4 linked regions of the Macaca fascicularis genome follow. The protein of the gene in region 2 binds, or shares a complex with, the protein of the main gene of each other region. Links are inferred from orthologs where the notes say so. Each region holds a gene or a part of one and is shown on either strand. Other genes may lie near its edges. The genes, in order: SLC7A8, SLC3A2, SLC7A11 and SLC7A10.

The links.
Region 1: the proteins of SLC3A2 (region 2) and SLC7A8 are in contact, whole or in part, in a cryo-EM structure (PDB 7CMI), measured with the Homo sapiens proteins. The link is inferred for Macaca fascicularis from reciprocal best matches to the Homo sapiens genes SLC3A2 and SLC7A8. Residues at the interface, in NP_002385.3 of Homo sapiens: Thr162, Gly163, Leu164, Ser165, Lys166, Glu167, Leu170, Ala173, Gly174, Trp178, Arg182, Leu185, Phe189, Trp190, Trp193, Met196, Leu197, Gly199, Ala200, Ile203, Ile204, Ala207, Arg209, Cys210, Arg211, Leu213, Lys532, Arg534, Asp558, Gln559; in NP_036376.2 of Homo sapiens: Leu147, Leu150, Phe151, Pro152, Thr153, Cys154, Phe155, Pro157, Ser159, Gly160, Leu163, Leu164, Ala166, Ile167, Leu170, Leu171, Trp174, Gln294, Ser352, Met356, Val359, Glu481, Thr484, Leu485, Gln488, Lys489, Met490, Cys491, Val492, Val493.
Region 3: the proteins of SLC3A2 (region 2) and SLC7A11 are in contact, whole or in part, in a cryo-EM structure (PDB 7P9V), measured with the Homo sapiens proteins. The link is inferred for Macaca fascicularis from reciprocal best matches to the Homo sapiens genes SLC3A2 and SLC7A11. Residues at the interface, in NP_002385.3 of Homo sapiens: Glu167, Leu170, Ala173, Trp178, Thr181, Arg182, Phe189, Trp190, Trp193, Met196, Leu197, Gly199, Ala200, Ile203, Ile204, Ala207, Arg209, Cys210, Glu212, Leu213, Lys299, Arg534, Gln559; in NP_055146.1 of Homo sapiens: Leu151, Phe154, Phe155, Ile156, Gln157, Cys158, Glu159, Pro161, Leu163, Ala164, Leu167, Ile168, Ala170, Val171, Thr174, Val175, Val178, Gln217, Gln219, Val360, His373, Thr487, Gln489, Ile490, Ile491, Glu493, Val494, Val495.
Region 4: the proteins of SLC3A2 (region 2) and SLC7A10 are in contact, whole or in part, in a cryo-EM structure (PDB 8WNT), measured with the Homo sapiens proteins. The link is inferred for Macaca fascicularis from reciprocal best matches to the Homo sapiens genes SLC3A2 and SLC7A10. Residues at the interface, in NP_002385.3 of Homo sapiens: Phe161, Thr162, Gly163, Leu164, Lys166, Leu169, Leu170, Val172, Ala173, Trp178, Arg182, Leu186, Phe189, Trp190, Trp193, Met196, Leu197, Ala200, Ile203, Ile204, Ala207, Pro208, Arg209, Cys210, Arg211, Glu212, Leu213, Arg534; in NP_062823.1 of Homo sapiens: Leu147, Val150, Phe151, Asn153, Cys154, Pro157, Ala160, Val163, Leu164, Met166, Ala167, Met170, Leu171, Trp174, Ser352, Val359, Glu481, Thr484, His485, Trp486, Gln488, Glu489, Leu490, Phe492, Val493, Val494, Tyr495, Gln497.

The regions. Positions count from the first base shown.
Region 1 is NC_088381.1:90,922,677-90,927,376, reverse strand, and holds part of SLC7A8 (large neutral amino acids transporter small subunit 2), read left to right. Parts: intron 1-1,978; coding exon 1,979-2,183; intron 2,184-3,083; coding exon 3,084-3,235; intron 3,236-4,700. UniProt on the Homo sapiens protein: Associates with SLC3A2 to form a functional heterodimeric complex that translocates small and large neutral amino acids with broad specificity and a stoichiometry of 1:1.
Region 2 is NC_088388.1:11,193,390-11,198,622, reverse strand, and holds the start of SLC3A2 (amino acid transporter heavy chain SLC3A2), read left to right. Parts: upstream 1-1,599; 5' UTR 1,600-1,737; coding exon 1,738-1,849; intron 1,850-5,233. UniProt on the Homo sapiens protein: Acts as a chaperone that facilitates biogenesis and trafficking of functional transporters heterodimers to the plasma membrane.
Region 3 is NC_088379.1:143,342,606-143,347,305, reverse strand, and holds part of SLC7A11 (cystine/glutamate transporter), read left to right. Parts: intron 1-3,474; coding exon 3,475-3,590; intron 3,591-4,700. UniProt on the Homo sapiens protein: Heterodimer with SLC3A2, that functions as an antiporter by mediating the exchange of extracellular anionic L-cystine and intracellular L-glutamate across the cellular plasma membrane.
Region 4 is NC_088393.1:40,503,348-40,508,585, forward strand, and holds the start of SLC7A10 (asc-type amino acid transporter 1), read right to left. Parts: upstream 3,517-5,238; coding exon 3,366-3,516; intron 1-3,365. UniProt on the Homo sapiens protein: Associates with SLC3A2/4F2hc to form a functional heterodimeric complex that translocates small neutral L- and D-amino acids across the plasma membrane. Preferentially mediates exchange transport, but can also operate via facilitated diffusion.

The sequences.
Region 1 (4,700 bases), on a different chromosome or scaffold from region 2:
GCTGGCTTTGAAATGCCCTATAGATCGCTCTTTTGATAATTTCCTGCTAGGCAAGGAATTTACTATCGTCTTTCACCACTATTAGCAAACCTGTCTCTAGATCTGTCATTTCCCAGCACTTGATGTCTTTCAGGGAACAGCAGTTTGGCAGGCAAAGAATCATTTGACAGGGGGAACGTGTCCTAAATCCTGGAATACTACAAGCAGGTCTTTTAGTCTCTACTAACCTAGTACTTCTGAACAGACCATATGGGGACTGTCTGAGAGAGGAGGCTGAAAGATGTCCTGTTGTCCTATTGTAGAACTTTACATAAACCTACAAGAAGAGGAGAAGTCTGTAAGGATTGGTGGCACTCAGAATCTCCTTTTTCTATCTTCTCTTTGCCTGATAGTTATATCACTAATTTGATGATGAGGAATTATTTTTCTTAGTTTCATTTCTATAAGCAGCCCCTTTCTGTTGCGAAAGACTGTTAGCACCAAAATTAGGAAGACATATTTGAGACAAATATGTGCTTCCTTTTCATCTGTATCTAACTTCAGCCTGTGCCCCCTGATTCTATATTTCAGTCTCAGGGCTAGATTGAGGTTGTGTTATGGTTGAGATCTGAGCGTCAGTTTTTGAAAGCTGAGCATAGGATTTACAATCTCCATCTCACTGGTTCCAGACCACTACAGAGAGATCGTGGAGGCTTGAGATGTCCTTAGAACACAGTCAAATCCAGCTGACCTCAGGGTACTCTAGCTCTGCCTTTCCACCTGGATCCATTTGGTCTCTGCTCCTTTCCTTAGGCATTTAGTGGTGCAGCTGGGCAGAGCATGAAGCAGCACTTTCAAAGCACCCACCCAATGGACCTTGATGATCTATTTTATCACAAGAAGTGGACATGGGAACAGTTGGGAAGAAGCATGTCAGGAACAGCCTCCACACTCCTGTTCCTCCTCTGCATAACACACACAACCCAGCAGCCAGCCATTCAATACTGGCTGTGGGCCTCACCTCTCAGGAGAAAGCCAGCCCCTGCACACAAGCAGAAGTGGATTAGTGGAAAGAGCGCTGGATTAAGTATCAGGAGACTGACTTCTAGATCCAATTTTACCCATCAGTAGCTGTGGAATTTGGAGAAAGCCACTTAACCCCTCTATGTCTTAATCTCTTCGTTTGTAAAACAGAGAGGGAAGTACCTGCCTCTCTCCTCTCCCTGAATTCCATAAGGTTGTTTTGAGGGTCACATGAAACATTGGTGGGTAACGACTTTTGAAAGAATATAGTACTGAGGCTTTGTATGTATTGCATTCCTACACACCACTTCTAAACTACTAGCACTGTTTTTATAGTTATTTTATGTTCTTCACCAAGGGTGGGGCCGTCATGTCTAGGGTAGAAGCCAGCCTCCAGGAATGTTTTCCACACTCATAAGTCTTGAAAACCCCCAATCTTGGGGTGTGACCACAATCTGTTCAAAAAAGATTGTCTTTTGGCTCATTTTTGAAGCCTTCCAGTGGGCAGGTGTTCTCTGAAAACAGTCCACTTTTCCAGCCCTGCCATTTTCAGAGCCTTGAGGCCCTTGTCACTTTGGGTGGACCACATGTCTCTCAGCTGGAGGGTCCTGAGATTCGATACTTCACCATCACTTACTGCAATGTGGACCTAGGCAACTCACTTGGTATCTCTGAGACTCAGTTTCCTCCTCTGTAAAATATGAGAAATGATATCTGATTCCATAGTGTCGTCCTGAGGATTAAATGAGATGTGGAAAGTACCTGACCAAGTTCCTAGTCAATATGTGTCAGTTCTCTGCTCCTCTTTACCCTACTTCAGGGAGAATTATTGCTAGACACACCTGCCTGCAGATAATTTACGTATCTCCAGGGCATTTCAGAATCAGATCGGAGATGAGACCACCCTCCAAACGCCAATCCTGCCAACCATCCTGTCTCTACTGTCTCCCCTTCTTACCCTTGGTGTCCCATGCAGGGAACATCATCGGCTCTGGAATCTTTGTCTCGCCAAAGGGCGTGCTGGAGAATGCCGGTTCTGTGGGCCTTGCGCTCATCGTCTGGATCGTGACAGGCTTCATCACAGTTGTGGGAGCCCTCTGCTATGCTGAACTCGGGGTCACCATCCCCAAATCTGGAGGTGACTACTCCTATGTCAAGGACATCTTCGGAGGACTGGCTGGGTAAGAGGATCTGTGGAGACCCTAATGGTCTAGGGGAAAAGGAGGAAGACATTCAGAAGGAGGTCAGATCGGGAAAAGCCAACGCTAGGAGTTTCCAGTCTCCAGTGTGCCAGGGGGTGCTAGAGAATGGAATGTCTCTTTTGCTTTCCTGCCATGGTTGCTAGTGTAGCCTTGTGTCCCCTCGAGGCTTCTGAGAATGATGGAGGGACCAGTTTTGTAGTTTTGACCTCTATGTTGATCTTGGTGGGAAGGATGCTATGAGTGAGAGCAAACAGAACTGTGTAACAACACTGACCATAGATTCCCAGAGAAAGCACATCACAAAAACAAAGCTCTTCTATCTTGACAAGTGAGAGCGGCCACCTAAGGTAGAGTGTAACCTCTTCTCACACTACCAAGGATAATGGCCTCCCTCTAGAGTTGGGCCCTAATCTTAAATTTCCTCAATTTCTGCACCCCTGCCATTGGTAAACCCTCACCAATGGGCCAAAGGGTGTGGAAGGCACTTCCCCTGCAAACCTCCACTTGATACCTCTCCTGTTTGTTGCTTCTGTAACCACACACTTAGTATGTCCTGTCTATCAACATTCAGCGGTTGCAAATTTTGTTTTTCCACCATTGGATGCTGGTGGCCACAGTGATGGAGAAGAGATGATGAAAGGAGAGAAGGAAAGAATGCCAAGACTTGTGTTAGTGCTTGTGGAAATTTAGCTCTTCATCATTAAACCATTTTATTGTCATTGCAGAGGGCTGGGTGTCTCATTTGTGGGTGGGGGCAGAGGCTGGGCTCTTCAGCATCTCTGAAAATAAAAAAGAGATGCATGACTTGCCCGGGCTCTCCCCTGATGGCTCTGCATCCCTGCCATGCCTGTTGGCGGGGATGTCCCATTCCTCCTTCAGGTTCCTGAGGCTGTGGATTGCTGTGCTGGTGATCTACCCCACCAACCAGGCTGTCATTGCCCTCACCTTCTCCAACTACGTGCTGCAGCCGCTCTTCCCCACCTGCTTCCCCCCAGAGTCTGGCCTTCGGCTCCTGGCTGCCATCTGCTTATGTAAGTGTCATCTGGGTCTTCGTAGCAAGACAGCCTCTTTTATTATATTTATTATTATTATTTTTAGAACAGAGTCCTCTGTCACTCAGCCTGGAGTGCAATCACACGATCACAGCTCACTGCAGCCTTGAATTCCTGGGCTCAAGTGATCCTCCTGCCTCGGCCTCCCAAAGTGTTGTGGTTACAGGTGTGAGCCACTGTGCACGGTCTGAGGGATGCCTCTTTTAGCCTCCCTGGTGGTCTATATGTCTCTGACTCTCCTTCCTTCTCTCCTTTTTTTTTGGAGGCAGGGTCTCACTCTGTCTCCCAGGCTGGAGTGCAGTGGCGTGATCTCCATTCACTGCAACCTCCGTCTCCCAGGTTCAAGCAATTCTCCCACCTCAGACTCCCAAGTTGCTGGGATTACAGGCGTGAGCCACCATGCCCGGCTAATTTTTGTATTTTTTGTAGAGATGGGATTTCACCATGTTGGCCAGGCTGGTTTTGAACTCCTGGCCTCAAGTGATCCGCCCACCTTGGCCTCCCAAAGTGCTGGGATTACAGGCCTGAGCCACCTCACCCTGCCTCCTTTTCTTTTCCCCATTACTTTTCTTTCAGTTTCCTACAAGTGTGTTTTGTATGAATGGATTCTGCATACAATTGTCTGGTGAAAAAAAAAAAAAGACAGACAGACAGAAAGAAAGAGAGAGAGAGAAAGAAGAAAGAATGAAAGAAAGAAAGAAAGAAAGAAAGAAAGAAAGAAAGAAAGAAAGAAAGAAAGAAAGAAAGAAAGAAAGAAAGAAAGAAAGAAACTTAAGTAGCTCCTTGGAGGCACTGTAATTTTCACTGGCCGGGTCAAAGCACTTTCACCTATATTATCTGATTTGGGCCTAATGACAAGTCCATGAGGTAAGCTGGGCCAGTATTAACATTTTCCCAGAACAGATAAGGAAACAGAGAGCCAGGCAAGTGACTTGCCCAGGGAGGCAGGCCGCATGGAGTGCAAGGGCTCCTGATTTCTTGTCTGTCCAGTACACTGCACTGTGCTGGCTACTCCCAGCTGCTCCTAGGAAGATTACTCTGGCTTCATGGCAGTAGTTCTACATCTACTTCTACCTCAACTTGTCAAGTCACACTTTTTTAAATCTCTTGGAGAAGAGTTTGTCCATGGTCCCTGCCCTTCATGAGTTTTCTAACTAGGAGAAAAGCCATATAGATGGATACTGTGGTTAGGATTCAATTGCAGTAAAAATTCAGAGAAGGGAGCTAGGCATGGCGGTGCACACCATAGTTCCAGCTACCTGGGAGGCTGAGGTAGGAGGGTTGCTTGACCCTGGGAGTTCTGGGTTATAGTGAGCTTGATCACACCTATGAATAATAGCCACTGCACTCCAGCCTGGGCAACATAGTGAGATCCTGTCTCTAAAAAAAAAAAAAAAGAAAGAAAGAAAAAAAAAGAAAAGAAAAAAAATTAAAAACAACAGGA
Region 2 (5,233 bases):
GCAGATTGTCATGAGGAATACCTGGAAAGCAAAGCAAATTAGTTATTTTAAGGTATTAGGATGGAATGAAACTTATTCAAAATCAACAACTGCCATCAGAACTCTAACATGCTATTAATTTTTGTACCTCACAGAACATCAGCTTATCAATTCAAATCATCTGACAGTAAAGTGATCGATATATGGATGAGGATAACAGCGCACGCTTACAAGAACTGTAGTACCGGGTTGCGATCTCGCTTCCCAGAAAATTATCTCAAGAGGAACAAGATGGAAGGCGCCAAAAAACAAAATTGCTTCCGCCGGCCACTTGTTCTCTTGTGAACATTTACAGAGATGACATACACCAATTTGAATAATTACCTGTATTCACCCTGGGAGACAGCTGAATTCCTCAGGATTATGAGATGCTGTAGACAACAGAGGAAGGCATTTTATGTACCTAAAAATAGTCATTCAAAGACCCCTGAAGACCTCGCTGTCACTTCTCAGTAGTAAGATGACATCACTTATAAGTTCAGCCATATGCTTGTCATTTTGTGTTCATCACGGAGTGGTTATCTAGCAAGGTCTCCTCTGTAAGAGCATAAAAGCATGTACACCTACCTGGAACATTACTGTAACGCTGGCTTTGCAGAAAGATGGGTCTTGTCCCATTCCTTCACCAGTGAGCTCTTGTGGGCTAAACATCTGAAAAAATAACAGCCTTCACTAACACCTCAGACAAATCAATAAGTCCCTGACATTTATTGCGTACAGTACAGTGCTACTCAGAATTTTTGTTTTCTCCACTAATCCATCAGAAAGAGAGAGTTCAGTTTGTAAAATCATCCCCGTAGCAACTTCAACACACTCAACGAAAGAGCAGAGGTTAAGAAATGGCCATAAGAACTTACTGTAACATAGAGCTCTCTTCGATTCCAACGTGCGCGTAAACCCTGCAGACCAGAGTCCAAGAAGACATTAAGTCAACACAGGGCATTTCGAAAACGCTATCTTCTGAGCCGACGGCTAAGTAGGAGGCTTGCAGGGCCCATCTCCTCAGAGTCACTTATCCTCACGGAGCTCAGTACAGGTCTGTGAAAAGGTCCTCATCATAGGGAGGGGACCCGCAAGGCCCGCCATCGCCATCTTGTCCTTCACAAAGCCCCGCTGCTACTTAATTTAATTAAGTCTCGAGGCCACCCACAAGACCTCACCCGCCAGTCACCCTGGCTAGACAGCTACAACACAGAAGGCATAGCGCGTGCTATGCGATGTCCGCACAATCGTTCAAAATAAAAGAAACGGACAAAGCACAAAACACTGACAGCTACAAACCTTACAAAATCACTTACCAGCGGCAGTAGAACAATGAGACCGAAATTGGCACGGAGAGACGATTAAATACCATCCCGCAGAGGCCCACGGGATTTGGGGGCGGTGCTATGGCGAGCGCACGCGCATACGTTGACCGCATGCGACCCCGGGGAGTTGTGGGTAGAGAGTTCCAGGGAAGGAGGGCGTGGACAAAGCGCTACCTGAACCTGCGGCGCGAAAAGGGCGCGCATGCGTCCTACGGAACCTCACCGACCGCATTGCGGCTTAGTTTTCTCACCCAGTGCATGTGGCAGGAGCGGTGAGATCACTGCCTCACGCGGATCCTGGACTGACGGTCACGACTGCTTACCCGCTAACCCTGTTCTGAGCTCCCCCTTGCCCCCACACACCCGAAACCTGTGTGCAGGATCCGCCTCCATGGAGCTACAGCCTCCTGAAGCCTCGACCGCCGTCGTTTCGATTCCCCGCCAGCTGCCGGGCTCACATTCGGAGGCTGGTGTCCAGGGTCTCAGCGCGGGGGATGACTCAGGTACTGGATCCCGAGCTAAACTCGGGAGGAGGTCCCCTTTGGGGGAGCCATTTCGGGAAAGTAAGTCAGGGCGTAAATGCTCCACTGAAGACAGGATCTGATTTTTTTCTAACTGGTCCCCTATGTCCTGCCTTCTGGTGCGTTTTCTTTAGATCTTGGACTACTACGGGCCAGCATTAGCTAACATTTGTGGAGCACCGTTTTAAGCACACTGTATTAATCGATTAATCCATCAAAATCCCAAGAGCTAGGTAGGATGACAGCCCCCTTTATTGATGGGGAACCTTAAAGGGCTCCCGCGGTGCTGCCTGCTGCAACTCCTGCCTGATCACTATGGTTGCAGTCAGCTATAGACTGTTTTACTGAGACCGGACAGCATTAGTTCAGTGGTTCGTGGTAAACATCTACGTGTACAAGCACACTTTATAAACATTTTTTTTTTTTTCCGAGACAGAGTTCTGCTCTGTCGCCCAGAGTGCAGTGGCGGGATGTCGGTTCACTGCAACCTCTGCCTCCCAGGTTCAAGCGATTCTCCTTCCTCAGCCTCCTGAGTAGCTGGGATTACAGGCTCCCGCAATCATCAAGCCACGCTAATTTTTGTATTTTTAGGAGAGATGGGGTTTCATCACGTTGGCCAGGCTGGTCTTGAACTGCTGACCTGGTGACCTCCTGCCTCAGCCTCCCAAAGTGCTGGGATTACAGGCGTAGGCCACCACACCCGGCCTGGCTCAGCATTTTGGGAGGCCAAGGTGGGAGGATCTCTTGAACCCAAGAGTTCAAGACCAGCCTAAGCAACATAGTGAGAAACCGATACCCATCTCTACAGAAAAATAGAAAAAATTAGCCAGGAGCGGTGGTGCATGCCTGTAGCCTCAGCTACTTGGGAAGCTGAGGTGGGAGGATTGCTTGAGCCCAGGAATTTGAGGCTGTAAGTGAGTTGTGATCAAGCCACTGCACTGCACTCCAGCCTGGATGACTGAGTGAGACCCTGTCTCAAAAAAAAAAAAAAAAAAAAAAGGGGGACAGATAAACTATGGAAAATCAAGATGGCCCAGAGTAGACAGACAAGGCTGGGGAGGTTGTGAGTGGGAATGGCAGTTGGGAAATGCTTTATAGAGTGTCTGGGCCTGAAAGGGTTGAAAGACTCCGGAGGGGAATTCCAGTTAAAGAAACAACTGGAGCACAAGCTTGGTGCAAGAAAAAGAAGGAAGTGTGTGGCTACAATTCATGAAAGATGGGCAAAAGGGGAGTATTAGAATATAAAACTGGAATGTATTTCCTGGGGAAAGCCACATAAGCAGGACCTTGAGAGCAAAGCTAAATCACTTGAATCATAGATAGAAAAAAAAAACCAGGGAGAGTTTTTAAGTAGGAAAGTGATAAGACATTGGGGGATAAGATGGAGACAAGGTCATTAGTTAGATTGCCATAGTAGTTTAGGCAAGAGGATTCAATACTAGCAAGTGTAACGGCAGTGGAAGTGGAAAAGAGGGGATTTGGGTTAGGGGTCTCCAACTCACATACAGAAATCAGCTAAGTAATGTAGGTAAGTGAAATGAACTGAGTTGGGACTCTGGTGAACTGGGCAGCCCTTTCACAGCTCCAGCTGCTTGTTGCCTTGTGACAGTATTGTCTCTGTGTGATCAAATAGTTTTCAAAAGAATCCAGAAGTCCAGAATTGTGTATTTACCCACTTTAAAATGTTGAGTTTAAATTTTTTTGGCCGGGCGCGGTGGCTCATGTCTGTAATCCTAGCACTTTGGGAGGCCGAAGTGGGCGGACCACCTGAGGTCAGGAGTTAGAGACCAGCATGGCCAACATGGTGAAACCCCTTCTCTACTAAAAATACAAAAATAAGCCGGGCGTGGTGTGGGTGCGGTGGCGGGCGATTGTAATCCCAGCTACTTAGGAGGGTGAGGCAGGAGAAGCGGTTGAACCCGGGAGGTGGAAGTTGCAGTGAGCCAAGATCACCCCACTGCACTCCAGCCTGGGGGACAAGAGCGAGTCTCAAAAACAAACAAACAAAAAACTGAAATATGCCTGTGGGCCAAAGGTGGCCCTCATTGTGAGTTTGCAACCTCTTGTGCAGTGACATAGAATCTACTAGAAAATAGGGCATTTAAAAAAAAGTAGGCTAGGTAGAGCGGCTCACGCCTGTAATCCTGAAGGGGGCCAGCCCCTCCACACCTGTGGGTATTTCTCATCAGGTGGGACGAGAGACTGAGAAAATAAGACAGAGAGACAAAGTATAGAGGAAGAAAAGTGGGCCCAGGGGACCGACACTCAGCATAAGGAGGACCCGTACCGGCACCGGTCTCTGAGTTCCCTCAGCATTTATTGATCACTATCTCTACCATCTCGGTGAGGGGGATGTGGCAGGACTATAGGGTAATGGTGGGGAGAGGGTCAGCAGGAAAACATGTGAGCAAAGGACTCTGTCATAAATAAGTTTAAGGAAAGGTGCTGTGCCTCGATGTGCATGTAGGCCAGATTTATGTTTGACTTTACACAAACATCTCAGTGCAGTAAAGAGCAGTATTGTCGGCCAGGCACGGTGGCTCACGCCTGTAATCCCAGCACTGTAATCTCAGCACTTTGGGAGGCCCAGACGGGCGGATCACGAGGTCAGGAGATGGAGACCATCCTGGCTAACATGGTGAAACCCCGTCTCTACTAAAATACAAAAAAATTAGCTGGATGTGATGGCGCGCACCTGTAGTCCCAGCTACTTGGGAGGCTGAGGCAGGAGAATGGAGGGAACCCGGGAGGCGGAGCTTGCAGTGAACTGAGATTGCACCACTGCACTCCAGCCTGGGTGACAAGGCAAGACTCCCTCTCAAAAAAAAAAAAAAAAGCAGTATTGCCGCCAGCATGTCTAACCTCCATCGATAAGGCAGTTTTCTCCTATCTCAGTAAATAGAATGTAACGTACGATCAGGTTTTATACCGAGACATTCCATTGCCCAGGGATGAGCAGGAGACAGATAGATGCCTTCCTTTTATCTCAACTGCAAAGAAGCCTTCCTCTTTCACTAATCCTCCTCAGCACAGACCCTTTACGGGTGTCTGGGGGACGGTCAGGTCTTTCCCTTCCCACAAGGCCATATCTCAGGCTGTCTCAGTGGGGAGAAACCTTGGACAATACCCAGGCTTTGTTGGGCAGCAGTCCCTGCGGCCTTCCACAGTGCGTTGTGTCCCTGGGTACTCGAGACCGGAGACTGGAGAGTGGCGGTGACTTTTACCAAGCATACTGCCTGCAAACACATTTTTAACAAAACACATCCTGCACAGCCCTAAATCCATTAAACCTTGAGTCAATACAGCACATGTTTCTGCGAGCACAGTGTTGGGGCTAGGGTTACAGATTAATAGCATCTCAAGGCA
Region 3 (4,700 bases), on a different chromosome or scaffold from region 2:
CAAATCAGGAACTACAGCTCCAAACGCCTTTTTTGATTTTATTGTTGTAACAATGTGTTTACATTCCTGCTTGTCTCAGTTTAAAATCAAACTGAATAGTGCCAAGTCACTCTGAATAGCAAATTTCCTTCAACTTTGTGGGAAGCTTATGATGTCATGTGAGCATTTCAGAGTATCACAGTTTCTTAAGGCTAATTACTTCTATAAAATGTGATGTGGACATTCTGATTACAGAATTTAATGGATATTACTAGGGAAACTTGCTCTTATCAAACTTACCAAACATACATGATTGAGAGCTCATGTGAGCTTTTATGGCTAAGTGCTAATAAGTGCTAGTTAGTACTGACTTAACACTAATCATGAGTTTTACAGTGTTAGAAGTCTTTTTTTTTAACAGAAAAAATATCTTCAAAGTAGTATATACTTCATGAAGTCTTTTTCATTTTAAACAACTCTGCATTATTTAAAATTGTTATAATGATATAATAATAAGTATTTTTTCCCTTTTCTAAAATTCCTGTATCAGGAATGTACTTTCTGTTCCTTTTTGGTTATCTGAATCTTATCTGCTCTTCAAAGGTCATCTTAAATCCTATCTTTCTCATAATTAATTTCCAGTTTATTCTAATTTGTTATTTCTTTCATCTCTAAATTCTTCTGAAAATGCTATCTCTGCTTCACATTTGACATTGAACATGATACCTTCTATTCTTCCTTAATATTTTAGATGTCTGTATTTTGTTTCCCTTTTAAAACTGCCAACCTTTCAAGCATATAAAGATACGATCTTTTTGTAACCTGTATAGCACTTAGGTCAGTGCCCTTTTTTCGGCATATATTAAATTATTTTTGAATAAGTAATTGAAAGTTTAAAGTTACAATATATTGTGTATAACATACTCAGCATTCAAATACATGTACTCCTTATTTAGACTGCTGACCTGTCAGGCTGGTGGGCTTTGGGGCTTAATACAGTTGGACTTGACTCCATCTTCAGCCATGTATTAGTGTGTAACTTTGGCTCATTGCTTGGCATTATGATGAACACAATCATTCCATATAAATATAGCTTATATCTTATGGTAGCACAGATAAAATATACATCTATTAATTTATTTATTCCACAATCTGCCACTGAATGGTAAATGACAATAGAAAGAGATCTAAAGTGAAATCAGTCATGATTTCTGCTCCCAGGTAGCTGATAATCACTTATTACTTTAATTAAAAAAAAAACAAACTACTTTTCTCTGTGTGTGTGTGTGTGTGTGTGTGTGTGTGTGTGTGTGTGTCTGTGGACAGAGGAAAGTACCTTTGTATTCTAGAAGATTTAAAATATGCTTATGTATCTCTTTGTCATAACATACTGATTTTGCTGAGTTGGCCTTTTAAATATGTAGAATAACAAATATCATGAGGAGGGACAAGATATCTAAGTATTTAAACACTTCTCTTCTTTTGCTAATACCCATAGTTCCTAAGTACTTCACATTAAAATTATACCTTTAGATTAAGTTTGTATTGCCAGAAATAATCTGTAAAACACAGATTTCAAGGAGAGAAATATTACCTATCATTACACAGCAGGGGTCATTAAACCGAATTTGCGTGTTCACTCTATATTTAATATATATTGGGTTTCTACTATATGTTAGACACTGCGCTAAACACTGGAGATAAAATTGTGGTTAAGATAGATACGATTTTGTACCCTTAGAGCTCCGAGTCAAGTGGGAGGAAATCATTATCAGCTGAGAAATCACATAGGTAAATATAAAATTGCTACTGTGATAAGCACTGTGGAAGACAGGCCAAGGACTTCAGTATGAATATACTCCAAGAGATCTGGCCCAGTCAGAGGCTGGAGAAGCTTTCCCTGGCAAAGGAAAATTGAACCAAGATCTGAAGTTTATAGCATAGTCAATGAGTTGCAGAGGCTGCAGGCAGAGAAGATTCATATCCTTCTAGTGGGAGGAAGCTAACTGAAGAAATAAGGAGAGCTTAGACCAGATGGAGCCTTGAATGCAATGTGAAGGAGTTTTGCATTTCCTGAACATATTTTGAAAGCACTAAAATGACATGATCAGATCTTAAATTATACATCAAAAATTGTATAAATGATGGAGAATAGGATAAACAGTTTTGTTTGGGGAAGATGGGAGGGTGTCTAGGAAAAGAAGAAAATCAAAAACCTTATGCTGCTCTCCAGTATCAGCCAGCCAAAGTTGACAACATGTAATGGTGGTTGGTTTTCTGATAATCTATGGATCAGGCATGAATGTTGGGTAACTACGAGAAGAAAGAGAAGCTAAAAAGGAAGTTTGACATAAGAAATTAGATAATTGCCGGGGGGCGCAGTGACTCATGGCTGTAATCCCAGCACTTTGGGAGGCTGAGGCAGGTGGATCACCAGGTCAGGAGTTCAAGACCAGCCTGACCAATATGGTGAGACCCCGTCTGTACTAAAAATACAAAAAATTAGCCAGGCATGGTGGCTTGTGCCTGTAATCCCAGCTACTCAGGAGGCTGAGGCAGGAGAATTGCTTGAACATGGGAGGCGGAGGTTACAGTGAGCTGAGATCGTGCCACTACACTCCAGTCTAGGCAACAGAGTGAGACTCCATTTCAGAAAAAAAAAAAAAAAAGAAATTAGATAATTGCACAGACTTGCATGTTTATGGAAAAAATATGCATTCATATATACATACATCTAAAATGAAAAGGTCTGTGCAATTTTCTCATAAAAATATTTGAAGAATTAAAATAGAAGGATGTATTACCTATATTTCTATATACTTGAATTTATTTCATATTCTTGTCCCATTTATATTTACTTAATTGTATAAGATTATAATAAATATATTATTTTTAAATTTATACTTTATATCTGATTGTTACTATAGGAGTAAGAATAATCACTTGACTTTGAGTTTTTGTCTGTACAGAAAAAATAAGAGTAAAACAACATCAAGTATTTAGGCATGTATTTCCAGAGAATACGTAATACTAATTTTTTAGGTTGAGTATTGTGTTCATTCTTTAGACTATGCCTTGACACATTAGATCTGTATGGCATTAACTAATTCATAATATGGCTGAAGTTTATTTACTGACTTTTTGAGAAAGAAGATGGCTTCCTGTAAGCCTAGCTCTGTCAAGCTCTTATGTAATAAGCCGGATTTTGAAGGAAAAGTCAAATATGGGAGAGCAGGGGAAAAGTTGGTAGTACTTACCCTTGTTCCCAAGAATATGTGAAGTTTAAAAACTAGCCACCAATGTTATAGGAAATATTTCATTTGGAATGTCTATGACAACCTAATCAAGTATGGAATTCTGAAAACTATAGACTTTCATATTTAACATGTTGCATATGCTAAATACACTCAAGGTAGAAAAATCTAATGAAATTAAATTTAATAAAAATGCTATTTTTCCCCCTGTGGTTAATCTAAATATATACATTTTTTTTAGCCCTGCAGCTACAGCTGTGATATCCCTGGCATTTGGACGCTACATTCTGGAACCATTTTTTATTCAATGTGAAATCCCTGAACTTGCGATCAAGCTCATTACAGCTGTGGGCTTAAGTGAGTATTATAGCTATATATGTAAAAAAGGAAAAAAACAACACAAAAATGATTGAATACAAAGTGTCTTTAGACTTTTTGCATTGTAGGGTTGCCTCTCACGTCATGTTCTTCTTGCTTACAGTTCCAAATTTCTGCTGGAAGGATTTGGAGTGACATCCAATATTGTATTCCACGCCAGTTTTGTATTTGGCCAATAGATATGATGGCTAATCTTTTTAAATAGTAAAAATCACCTTACTAGTAAAATATTAAGTCGGTTATACATGAACAAGACTTTTAAAGAGGAAACCCCAATTATTTTAGAGATTATTTAATTGGAAATTAGCTATATATTGAATTATATCTTATGTGTATTCGTGGAGTTACCTTTATGTAGTGGGTGTGTAAGTTGTGTTTATACATTTTGTAGTGTTAGCAGCTGTCACTCCCAGTGTTATAATGTTAGCTGCCTGTTGTTGGTCATGAAAAGAGTTTTCTTTCAAGATTGATTATTAATAGTGTTTTCCAACTAGATTTCTTTATGGTCTCCAAATTGAGAAGTTGTTCATCTTTTATCAATGGGCACAAATATTCATTGATTTAAAAAAGAAACAAAAAGAACATGAACAAAATTACATGAGTGATATGAAGCCATATATGACTCTAATTCCCCAAAAGATGCCAGGTACTAAATCCTTAAATATGGGAAAGGATAACTTAATTCTGGGTGCCATTTGAATCACTGTCTTAATCAATATGATCACATTTAACCGAGTTTTAGCTACTTATAAAGAGAAAGCTACACTAACTGAATTGCATAATCATGGAAGAATTTTTAGTTTGTATGGCTAAGATGTTTCAGTGGGATAATGCCTGAGATATTGCCTGTAATTTACTTATTGCCTGTAATTCATTTATTTTTTTAATTAAAATTTAAAAAATAGATTTAGTGGGTACAATGCAGTTGTGTTACATGGATATATTGTGTAGTGGTGGAGTCTGGGCTTTTAGTGTAACCATCACCCAAATAGTGTACATTGTAGAAATTAGGTAATTTTCATCCCTCATCCTCCTCCTACCCTCTCATCTCTCTGAGTCTCCAATGTCTATTATTTCACACTCTATGTC
Region 4 (5,238 bases), on a different chromosome or scaffold from region 2:
CAAGGTGGGCATGAGATTCAAATGAGATAACGGAAGAACACGTTTTCATAAGGTAGTAAGAGGTGTTTTTCTGAACAAATGTTGGATGTGACCACGTCCTGCAGAGCCCCTGCCCCAGCCAGTTCTATTTCCTCCAGCCTGGCCGATTCCCTTCCATCTGCGCTTGCGGTGGCTGGCGGGCACTGCCCTAAACACACTTGACGTGAGTCTCACGCCGGCCCATAGCCTGCTCTTCCAGGTCTTCCCATTTTCGAAAGCCTCACTTCCCAGTCTGAGCTGGAGCAGAGGGTATATGTGGGAGAGAGTGATAGGATCTCCTGGGAGGGTCGCTGTGGAAGTTTTGGAAATAACATGTTCAGTAATAGTAACAAACCAAGGTAGATTATGAAGCAGGACATTGGCTGGGCAGGGTGGCTCACACCTGTAATCCCAGCACTTTGGGAGGCCGAGGCAGGCAGATCACTTGAGGTTAGGAGTTCAAGACCAGCCTGGCCAACATGGTAAAACTCTGTCTCTACTGAAAATACAACAAATTAGCTGGATACAGTGGTGCGTGCCTGTAATCCCAGCTACTCAGGAGGCTGATGCAGGAGAATTACTTGAACCCTGGAGGCGGAGGTTGCAATGAGCTAAGATTGCGGCACTGCACTCCAGCCTGGGGGACACAGCCAGACTCTGTCTCAGAAAAAAAAAAGAGAAAGAAAGAAGAGAGAAAGAGAGAGAGAGAGAGAGGGAGGGAGGGAAAAAGAGAGAGAGAAAGAAAGAAAGAGAAAGAGAGAAAGAAGGAAAGAAAGAAAGATGAAGCAGGATGTCAAGTTTTTAAGACTTTTAGAGCTAAAATATGACACTTTGCAGACATTTTTGATTCTGACCAGGCTCCCCAGTGTATTGGTGGAGAGAGAGTGAGCCCACCTGGGGCAGAAAGGTAGGGTGGGCTGGGGAGGGGAGACCCTTAGGACTTAAGGTGGGGAAGGCAGTGCAGACCCCAGCTCAGTCCTCATCTGCCCAGTCCCCACCTCCTATCACCTTCTGGTTGAGGTCGATCTCTCCTTGTTTTTTCCTGCCCCGTCCAGCTTCCTGCCTGCTGTAACCCTCCAAGGCTCCCCAGGCCAGGCCAAGACCAAGGCTCCCCAAGACCACCACTGAGTGCCCTGGGCTTGGGTTCTGTAGCTGAATTGGTTGGCCAAGTGGCCCTTCACCCTGGCTCAGTCTTCAAGGTTTGGAGGCCAAGGTGGTGGACTTGGCACAGCAGGAAGGAACTGAAGGGTGGGGGAGCTGTCAGGGCAGACCTGGGCTGCATGGGAAACTTAGAGTCTGTCCTAGAAAAGGAGGGGGTGATGGTGGAGTTGACCTTCTCCACTCCCACCACCACCACCTCCACCACCACCACCACCACCACCTCCACCACCACCACCACCACCACCACTGTCACCGCCGCCACCACCACCACCACCACCACTGGGGCCCCCTTCTGGGAAGAGAGGAGCCAGGCAGCCTCCCTGTGGCCTGGGGAGGATGGGATGTGGGGAGGGGATAGAGTAGGAAGACAGGTCAAGGATGCTGGGCTTAGCTGAGGAGCCCAGGCAGAGCTGTGTCTCTCTGCACCTGCCTGGCGCTGTAGCTGGCTCTAGGCCTGGTCTCAATCCTATGACCCACTCATGGTGTGAGCTTCCCCTTCCCTGGAGGACAGTTCCTGGAGGGGGTGTGGGCCAAGAAAAAGCTCTAACCAGCACCCTGGCCAAATCCCTAGAACCAGCCCTTCCTTCCAGCAGACCGTCTGTCAGGCAGGGGCATCCTAGGCCAAGAAGCTCCCAGGGCCAGGTCCGGACCAGGTTCTAGGAGGCAGCATTCTTTTTTTTTTTTTTTTTTTTGAGACGGAGTCTCGCTCTGTCGCCCAGGCTGGAGTGCAGTGGCCAGATCTCAGCTCACTGCAAGCTCCGCCTCCCGGGTTCCCGCCATTCTCCTGCCTCAGCCTCCCGAGTAGCTGGGACCACAGGCGCCGCCACCTCGCCCGGCTAATTTTTTGTGTTTTTAGTAGAGACGGGGTTTCGCCGTGTTAGCCAGGATGGTCTCGATCTCCTGACCTTGTGATCCGCCCGTCTCGGCCTCCCAAAGTGCTGGGATTACAGGCTTGAGCCACCGTGCCCGGCCCAGGAGGCAGCATTCTAAGGGGAGGCGGTGAGATGGTGGAGTGACCTGGCCAGGGGCTGTGTTCAGGGGCGACTCTGGATGGGAAGAGCTGCTAATGTGGGGGTGGGAGAGGACGAGGTGAAGATGCTGGGTCTGCCCTACTAAGCCTCCAAACTTTCTCCATCTCCAGGGGTCTGAGGGTAGGAGGACAGTGAAGACACAAGCGGCTCACACTGGCAGGGGACCAGGAAGACTGGCTGGCAGTAAGGTGAGAACAGTCGAGGCCCCAGTTACTCATCCCCCCAAACCATCTCTCCTGTCCCTCCCTGGAGGGGCTCAGAGGCACCCTGTGTAGACAAAGAAATAAGTCTGGATTAGTCAGTATCCATGACTTGGGACAGAGTGGAAAAATACCACTGCCATTCCCATGACCCCTGAGCTCTCTGCCTACCCAGAAACCCCTATGTGGGGGCAGGAGGACATGGACCCATTCTCAGGTGGGGACTTTGGACCCATTCTCAGAGGGAGACTTTGGAGTCCAGGGCCTCCAGACCAGGCGAGTGCCCAGTGCCCACCAGGATCCCAGCCCAGGGAGCAGCCGGCCTTCTGCAGGCTGGGTCTGCCCACTGCTGCCCCCTTCCCCCAATTGCTGGCTAACCCGCTCCCTCTCCTGGGCCCTGCTGCCAAACCCTGCAGTCATTGCCTGCTCTGAACATCCGTCCCCTCTGCGCCGGCTGCGAGCTTGTTCACTCTACTCACAGGCCCTCCTGCTTTCCAAGAATAAGTCACTGCACTGCGTGGCACCTGGACCCTGCCCACAGTAGGTACTCAGACTGACGACCCACAGTCCAGAACTTGGGGAGCTCAGCCTGCCGCAGCCTGACCAGCCCCTACACTGGTCAAGTTCCTGCGCTAATTGCAGGACTGCGGTCATGGCCATTTCACAGATGAGGAAACTGAGGGTAACTGCCTTGCAAAAGCCCCGCAGCAAAATCGAGTCAGGAGGAAGAGTCCAGCGGTGGACGGACCCAAAACTCCCCCAGGTATAGGCGGCAGGGAGGTGGGAACACGGAGCTTTGGCACCCTGGGCCAGCAGCCCCTGCCCTCCCAGCAGTCGTAGCGCTCTCTGAGGCCAGAGCAGGTTCCCCAGGCAGACCCGTCCGAGCTCCCGGAGAGGCGGCGCCCCTCGTTCGGCCTCCGCCCGCCCGGCGCCCGCCCACCTGGGTCCCGCTCACCGATGATGATGGTGCAGGCGCTCAGCAGCCCGATCTCCTTCTTGAGCGCCACTCGTTCCGAGGCGCCGGGGACGGGGCCTGGGACCGGGGAGGGCGAGGGCGCAGGGCTGGGGTTCCCGTGCTCGCTCGGCTGCTGCGTGTGGCCGGCCATGTCGCTGTCCCGCCGCGTTCCCGCTCCCTGCGCTGCCCCGTCTGTCCGGCCGGCCGCCCGTCCGTTTGTCGGTCGGTGAGCTCACGGCCCTCGCAGTCGGGACAGCGCCCACAGGCGGGCGCATGCGCTGGCGCGGGGCCCGGGACTGGGGCCCCCGGGTGGCGGGGGCCCGGGAGGGGCGGAAGGAGGGCCGGCCCGCAGCCCCCTCCCCCGCCTCCCTTAAAGGGAACGCCCCCTCCCCCAGTCCCGGCCTGGGAAGGAAGGAGAGGACTTGGGGCAGATCTAGGAAGGACTTCCCAGTTGGGCGAAGGAAGGGACCCTCCAGTTGCCTGAGTTACATCCATTCTTGGGGCGGGGTAGGGGAGCAGAGCTCCGAGACAAGACAATCCCTGCGCTCAGGGAGGCCGAGGGGGACGGCAAGAATAGGAGCTGGCCGCATGTGGGCATCCAGTGCGTGCTCCCTTTCGTACTCCATGCCTGCATGGGGTGTGTGTGTGTGTGTCTGTGTGTGTGTGTGTGTAGGAGACAGCTCCCAGGGTGAGTCCATTCTACAGGCGGAAGTTGAGGCCCAAAGATTAGTAGCGATCGCCAAGCAAGTGCAGGGCTGAGGCCAAACCCTTCCTCGTGCCCCCTTGGCTCCCAGGCGGACAACCTCAGGAGGGGTGGGGGTTGAGGTCTGGAACTCCTCTGAGGGGTCTGGGTGTCCTATGCACCCTGGATCAAAGGCCTGAGGGTCGAGGTGAAGATCTCGGGGGCCCTCATTCTCATCACAGGGACTCAAGGCCCGTGAGGAGTCCTGGACACTGCTCTCCCACCCCACCAGGCTCTGGGCCACCTCTGGCCCGAGGTCCCCACTACTGGATCCTCGTCCCAGGTCAGAGTGAGGGCTCAGCGGACTAGAACTCGTGTCTCTGGTGCCGGTCCCCCGCGATCCAGCCCGGCTCAAGGAGGCCAGGCGACCTGAATGCCTGGGGGGACATGGAGAAGGAGGCTGTGGTCGCGGGAGAGGGTCGGGCGTGCCGGGATCCGAGGGAGGCTGCCTCCTCCCGGAAGCCGTCCGGACTGTGCAGTTGAGGCCGGCGGAGCAGATCCAGGAGGGCCGCGTCGGGGCCACCGGGGCGGCGGGCGGGGCGAGCCTGGCACGGTGCTGCCGGCGGCGGAACAGCCTTTGTTTCTTCCTGGCGGCCGCCGCGACGCGCCGTCCCCTGCATGTGGATGAGGCCGCGCCGGGCGCCCCGTCCTCCCCCCCAGTGGCGGCCTCTGGGTTTGCTGGGTCCCTGCCAGGGGTCCGACGGCCGCAGGGTGGACCCGGGTGGGAAGGGGCGGGGGCGGGGGCGGGTCCCGGGCAGGGGCGGAGCGTGGAGGTGGGAGCGGGGCGGGGCCGGGGTTTGCAGGCGTACAGGAGCTTCGAAGTTGGGGGCGGGGACTTGGGGTAGGAGTAGGAGCGGGAGGATCCAAGGTGGACGTGCTGGGTGGACGCGGAGGGGGAGGCCACCCGGCGAAGCTGCATCCCTCTCGCTTCTGTCGTCGGAGTCCGGCATTCTTGGCGCCCTCCACCTCCAGCCCCAGAGACCATTCAGAGGCCGAATCTCTTAAAGGAGCCTCGCGCAGGTTGGGAGCAGCCCTGGCTCCGGAGACCCCTGATTGTCGCGGGTGTTAGGGGCCAGGGGCCTCGACCTTCTGGTTTGACTATCCCCAGCCCCTCAGTTGCCCTTGCAACTC